Rattus norvegicus: one gene and its partner. Each later gene encodes a partner of the first gene's protein in a complex. Links are inferred from orthologs where the notes say so. Each region holds a gene or a part of one and is shown on either strand. Other genes may lie near its edges.

Region 1 (4,383 bases):
TGGGAGACAGGAAAGGTGGGGTTGGTAGCTGGGCCTGCAGGCACAGGACTGTAATACCAGGCACTTGGGAGGCCGAGGTCTCAGACTGAAATTTAAAACCAGCCTGGACCACATAGTGAGTTCAAGACCAGACAGGAACTTAGCGAGAGGACCCTGTCTCAGAAGGTGGGGTGGGGTGGGGGTGAGGTGGGGGGTTGGGGCTGCAGGGAGGGAAGGAAGGAAGAGGCTGGTGATTTTTGTAGTGTGTGAGATGTGTTACTAGGTGGGACAAGGGAAATGCCCTCAGGAAGGAGGCATTTGAGTTCTGTGTCAACTGAGTGAGCATGTGGTTGCTGGGAATTGAACTCAGGACCTCTGGAAGAGCAGTCAGTGCTCTTAACCGCTGAGCCATCTCTCCAGTCCTGATACATCCTCTCTGCCTCAGTTTCCTGAGTGCCGGGATTACAGCTATGAGCCACGATGCCCTGCTTGGTCTGGGGGATGGGAATGGGTTGGGGGAGTGAACTAAACGAGGTCCCTCGGAGTTTCGCAGAGGTGCCCTTGGGAAGGAAGTATTAATCCTGCCCCTGCCCCTGAATGCTTGCAGGAGAAAAAAACTGTGTGTGTGTGTGTGTGTGAGTGTGTGTGTGTGTGTGTGTGTGAGTGTGTGTGTGTGAGTGTGTGTGTGTGAGTGTGTGTGTATGTGTGTATGTATGTGTGTGTATGTGTATGTGTGTGTGAGTGTGTATGTGTGTGTATGTGTGTGCATGGTGTGTGTGTTACCTGAGAAGGTAACTACATTTGCAATGCTGTGATTGCAGTACCAACATCACGGTTTTTAGGGCATTTCACTCCATTCTGGTGGGGAAGGCAGGGCAGTTAATGGTGGCGAATCACGTGGCATGTATCAGGGACCCCTGGCATCGCCGTTGAGCAGGGTCCAGAACCAGCTTCAAAGGTTTCCTTTTGCCAGCTGGCATCCACCTAAAAGTTCAATAGCCAACCAAAATAGTGCTACCGGTTGGGGAACAAATCTTCAAAATGAGCCTGTGGGGGGTCACTTCAGGTTCATGTCCTCACCAGGAGAATGGGGGTTCAGATGCAGTTGCCTCGTCAGAACCAAGCCCAGGGTGAAAAGAGCAGCTGTCTGATTGATCTAGAGAGCCTGGGGACAGGTTGGGTTGTAGGCAGAACTAATCAACTGCTCATTGCTGACATGCCCTGGGCCTCTAATCCAGGACATGGTGACTTACTACTTGAACCTGAGGCAGGCGGATACACAAGAGACCCCGCAGTGGGAGCAGGAATACCGCCTGACAGAGGCCTACGAGGTGCAGGACGCCAGCACCAGTTCTATGTATACAGCACTGACCCGCATCGCCAGTGAGCAGCACATCCTGCAACGTTATTACGTCTACAACTCGGTCAGCTACAGCCATCAGCCCTGTGAGGACGTCTGCCGAAGGGAGCATGTGTGCGCCATACAGCACGTGGAGTTCGACACTTACGCCACCTGCTTGCATGGTCTTGGTGCCAACCTGGTACCTGGTTTCCTGCTCATACTGACTCTGCTGACGAGCCTACACGTATTGGAGGTGCTATGACTGTAGGCACTGCCAGCCTACCCTCTTACTTGGTTCGTCTTTCTCCCTGGTAAAACTGGGCAACATTACCCAATGGAGAGAGAGGGAGATGAATTTTGCCATCAGTCTGTGGAGAGTAAGGTGGGATGGGACATTTGGATTCACCAGAGAGGGCGCTAAGAAGCACATTTCTTCTGAGTTTTATGTTTTATCCACAGAGCTTGTTTGCGGTACATGTCTTGGTGCATTATTCCCTTTAATACAAACATCAAACTATCATGCACTTGATCGCCACAGTAAAGTGAACCCGCAGGAAGATGGGCCCTGGAGAGTCTGTGCTTTTGAGTCCCTGCTCAAGGTCTAAAACTGGGAACCCACGTGGTCTGCAAAATCCCTTGGTACTTTTAAATAAAAGACTTTTCTGATTTGGTTTCGCAACAGTGCAACCGTGAGGGATCACAGCTGCGACCCAGACACTAGTCTTGTGGCCACTCTTGTTAACTAGAGCCTCAAAAGGCAGAATCCAAACCAGTAGAGGCAGGGCTCAAGACAGGGAGGGCTGGGGGCGGGGTCTGGGCGGTGGGACCGCCTAGGGGGCGGAGTCGTGGACTCGCTCCTCCCCGGACGGGGCGAGATGGGGAAGTTCCGCCCAGCAGCCCGGCCTCTGGGAGGACTGCCCCACCCCCTTCCTGCCGGACTAGCCGGGCTGGAGGGCAGATCCGCGGTTGTGAGGTTGCCTGGAGGGCCATGCCTCTGTCCGTGCACCCCCAAGTGGCCTTAGACGTGGTCATAGGTCTGGTGAGTACCTTGTCTTTCCTGTTGGACCTGGTCGCCGACCTGTGGGCCGTCGTCCAGTACGTGCTCGTTGGCCGTTACCTGTGGGCCGCGCTGGTAGTGGTGCTGCTGGGCCAAGCCTCGGTGCTGCTGCAGCTCTTCAGCTGGCTCTGGCTGACAGCTGACCCCACCGAGCTGCACCAGTTGCAGCCCTCGCGTCGTTTCCTGGCTCTGCTGCACCTGCTGCAGCTCGGCTACCTGTATAGGTGAGTGCCCGGTCGGTTGAGAAAAGTGGGTTGACAGAGCCAGTTCAGTTTTCCCCTGGGCGTAGGTGAAACACAGGTTCAGGAAAGAGGAAGGGAACATCGGGGTCTTGGAGTTAGAGATGCCCCTCCCCTTTCTTTTTCATTTATTTTTTCTGCGAACATTTGCTTTCCCATCAAGGACTGAAGATGGGAGGGTTCTGCTTGGCTCATCTGTGTTCCTGGAGCCAGTCAGGACTGGACACAGATAGACTGGTTCTTGGAAGATGTGTGTGAAATGTGTACTTTTCTGAACTGGATAGAACCCAGGTTCAGTCTGAAGTAAGGACAGTGAGAAAGTCCCCGGCCCCTCCCCTCCCTGCCCCCCCCCCCCCCCCCCCCGTCCCCGTCCACCTCACTGTGAGTAGGCCCTTGGGTTGTTAGATGGGAGAAAGTGAAATCAAGGGGTCAGAATCATGTGATGAAGGCAGGGCTTCCTGAGGAGGGATGGGATTGGGTAAAGTGGGGTGGATGGATCCGGGATATCTTGTGCAAGTCTCAGATCTTGGCAAAGCTGCCTAGAGTCTTTAGCTGTGGGAAGGGACCTTTGAATATTTGCATTTTGCCTGAACAATTGTATCATGAGTACAGCTCAGGTGACTGTGAAGGGCGGTTATTATAGGTAGGCCCCAAGAGGAGAAAGTGTCGGGTCCCTTGGAGTTAGAGGTGAGGCACCTCTGTAAGAGCAGTGGATGTGGGCTGGAGAGATGGCTCAGTGGTTAAGAGCACTGACTGCTCTTCCAGAGGCCCTGAGTTCAAATTCCAGCAGCCACATGGTGGCTCACAACCATCTGTAATGAGATCTGATGCCCTCCTCTGGTGTATCTGAAGACAGCTACAGTGTACATATATAATAAATAAATCTTTAAAAAAAAAAAGAGCAGTGGATGCGATTAACAGCTAAGCTGTCTCTCTCAGGCCTCTCCTGTTTGCTGCTGCTGCTGCTGCTGCTGCTGCTGCTGCTGCTGCTGCTGCTGCTGCTTCTTCTTCTTCTTCTTCTTCTTCTTCTTCTTCTTCTTCTTCTTCTTCTTCTTCTTCTTCTTCTTCTTCTTCTTCTTTTTATTTATTTTGTATATGAGTACACTGTAGCTGTCTTCAGACTCACCAGAAGAAGGCATCGGATCCCATTACGTGTTGCTGGGAATTGAACTCAGGACCTCTGGAAGAGCAGTCAGTGCTCTTAACCACTGAGCCATCTCTCCAGCCCTCCTGTTTGCTTCTTAATTCCATCTCCCATCTCTAAAATGGGGCTCTTGTGAGTAGGTAGGGCAGGGTGCTGATGCTCTGGCGTCATGGCTGACCAGCAAGAGTAGAAGTTGAATTTCCCTCACTTTGTGGATGGAGAAACAGTTCCAGGAGGTAAGCTGGGTGGCTTGCTTCAGGTTCCGTAGCTTTTAGGTGACAAGTTAGGATTGAGGTCGGCCTCCATGCACTCAGCTGTAGGAGAGGGAAGACTTCACAGAACGCTGACCTGGTCCACTGGGCATCTGTGTGCTCTGCCTAGGTGCCTGCACGGAATGCGGCAGGGACTGTCCATGTGCTGCCAGGAGGTACCGTCTGAATGTGACCTGGCCTATGCTGACTTCCTCTCCCTGGACATCAGCATGCTGCGGCTTTTTGAGAGCTTCTTGGAGGCGACCCCACAGCTCACGCTGGTGCTGGCCATCGTGTTGCAGAGTGGAAATGCCGAATACTACCAGTGTGAGTGCTGGGCCCGGGCTGTCGCTTTTGCTGCTGCTTCTCTT
Region 2 (2,507 bases), on another chromosome or scaffold:
TGCCCACAGGCTCAGGAAGGAAGATGCAGGAATATTCTCCAGAGCGGTCATCTGCATCCACCCTGCAGGGAACAGAATGGTAAGGTAAGGAGCTCACAAGGCATGCTATGCTGGCCACCTCCCCACCGAGGCTGGCTCTCTGTGCAGACCACAGGCAGACAGAGCCTTGGGCGCTCTCATGCTCTACAGGTAGGCCACGCAGCCAATCTAGAGCTGTGGGGAGCCTGGCACAGCCACAAATCAGGCCAGAGGCAGTTCCAGACATCAGGCCCTGAGTACCACGAACTCACGTGTACTTCATCTGTAGATCGGGCAGCGTGTCTTCCTGCAGTACCTTGCCACCTCTCATCCAGCGGTGGCCAACGATGTCAATGCCACTGCTGTTCAAAAAGCAGGTAAGCTGTGTCTTGGAGTCAACTTCCTGGACAGAGGTTACGATGGTGCCCGCTGCGGCCACAGGGAGAAAGAGCCATCTTAGCCCAGCTGTCGGCCCCACACCCCCACGCGGTCTGCTTTTGGAATCATAGCAGCTGACAATCTACAGCCCCAGACCTCTAAGGCAAGCTGATGACCCACTATGAGTCAGCTTCCAAGGTAGGAGACCCAGCTGCCCAAGGCCTGCCTGCTGCTCATAGCTCCTCATAGCTCCGTGGTTCAGGGGGAGCACCATCCGCACTTCCCCACATGTTAAAGCCACACGGATGGCTCATGTTCCCTTCACTGGTGTTTGACCATTACTCAGAACTGGAAACGAAACCCCCAGAAAGCTCCGGGGAGGCTGGCTGGAATTTTCATTTGCAGTAGACAGTCACTTGGGCAGCAGACCCCAACCCCACCAGACAAACACTGGGGAGGCTATGAGCCAGGACAGCAGGTGCACAGAGCCGAACAAGGTGGGAGGTCAGGGCGGAAGACAGCGGACCAAAGGCCTGGGATAGGAGCCGAGGAACCACCTACAAGAGGGCAGGGCCAGCCTGCACCCAGCAAAGTGACCGAGACGAGTGCCCAGCCCACCCATGTCCCCAGGTGAGTCTCAATGAAGGGCAGAGCAGCATCTGGTTCTACAGAGTGGGAGCCAGGGTTGGATGGCACGAGAGGTAAACAGAGACAGGTGCCCTGGCCACTCACGTTCAAGGACCACCACGCTCGCCTGGGCACGAACCCACTTGACCCTGGGTGGCCGGGTCAGGTGGTTGCGGTCAGGGTCACTGCTGGCCCGGCATTCATAAGTGCCTGTGTCCTCTGCGGCGAGCCCATCAACAGACAGCGTGCTGGCTGCATGCTGGCGGTAGGTGGCATGGATGTGAACACGGTCCAGCCGGGCGCCATCCCAGAGCTGGGAGCAGCTGTCGTTTGGTTCATTCCCTTCAAACCACCACTGGATCTCCGGCATGGGGCTGCCCACAGCCTCACAGTGCAGGACCACGCTGCCCCCCGCCCACTGCTCCTGGGACATTGGCGCCTTGAGAAAGCCAGCTACAGGAAAGGGTTAGCACCCATTACTACAACTGCTAGGGCCTGCCACAGGCACCAACACAACACAACGAACTCCATTTCTTTTCTGCTTGCAGGGAGAAGTATGAAGTTAGGCACAAAAAACACAAAGGGCTGGGTAAAAATGTTGACCACCAAGCCAGTTCAACCCAAGACCCATGTGGTGAAGGACCTGTGCACAGCTAATGTACGCACGCATACACTAAGTGTGTCTAGAAAATACAGTGGGCGCCATGGCAGCTCGCCTATAATTCCACCACTCAGGAGGCCTATGCATGCAGGAGGATTGCTATGAGTTCCAGCCAGATGGGCTACATGACAAATTAAAATAGGGCCTTCAGCATTACATAAGGGCCTGGGACACTCAGACTTGTATGCCTGCCCCAAACACATGTCCCAGGGGAGGGCAGGTCTTTGCATGCCTACACAAGGCGTGGTTGTTATCTGAAGGTACAAGTATTAAGTTTAGGGCCTCAGGCCCTGCATTGGGGGTGGGGGCTGAGGTAAGCACTTGCCCCAAAGCTTCAGGGGTCTGAATGACACAGCTGCTTCGGTAGAGAATGGTTTCCTGGTAACCTACATTCGAGATCTTCCAGACTGCCCAACCTGCAGTTCCTGGCTGGTGGTAGGCTGTCAGGAGAAGGTCACAGCAGCGCCCTTCCCTCAGTCCCCTTCTCTGTCTACTGCTACAGGACGTCTGAATCAACACCACTTCATCTAGGGCTGTCAGCAAATACAGGTACAGGGCAGCCCCAACTCCAGTGGGGTTTCTGAAGAGACACTACACCATGGGTGTCGTACATCTAGGACAACACCGTCATGTTCCAAGGACCACGAGACTAACATGCCAGGCCACCCATGATCTGGTCTCAGGAATGCAGGCTGCCCTGGCATCTCCTGCTGACCTTTCCACACAGAGCCTCACTAGCACTGCTTAGGGGTGACCATTAACTGCGATCCCAACCTTAGAAGCCTCAACAGGGTCTTTAGCTTCCAGCCTGTCGCCTGCCTCA

The links. Proteins that work in one complex are often made in the same cells at the same time.
Region 2: the proteins of Xkr8 (region 1) and Bsg are in contact, whole or in part, in a cryo-EM structure (PDB 7DCE), measured with the Homo sapiens proteins. The link is inferred for Rattus norvegicus from reciprocal best matches to the Homo sapiens genes XKR8 and BSG. Residues at the interface, in NP_060523.2 of Homo sapiens: His232, Leu236, Val239, Leu242, Trp243, Leu246, Gln247, Arg280, Gly283, Arg284, Ile287, Phe291, Ser294, Asp295, Leu298, Ala301, Thr302; in NP_001719.2 of Homo sapiens: Trp326, Pro327, Gly330, Ile331, Glu334, Val335, Leu338, Val339, Ile341, Ile342, Phe343, Tyr345, Glu346, Lys350.

What each region holds. Positions count from the first base shown.
Region 1 is NC_086023.1:150,226,226-150,230,608, reverse strand, and holds the start of Xkr8 (XK-related protein 8), read left to right. Parts: upstream 1-1,583; 5' UTR 1,584-2,309; coding exon 2,310-2,602; intron 2,603-4,142; coding exon 4,143-4,339; intron 4,340-4,383. Other genes in the region: Smpdl3b (acid sphingomyelinase-like phosphodiesterase 3b precursor), read left to right, coding at 1,218-1,583.
Region 2 is NC_086025.1:10,645,615-10,648,121, forward strand, and holds part of Bsg (basigin isoform 1 precursor), read right to left. Parts: exon of another isoform or gene 1,623-2,507; intron 1,477-1,622; coding exon 1,129-1,476; intron 448-1,128; coding exon 291-447; intron 63-290; coding exon 1-62.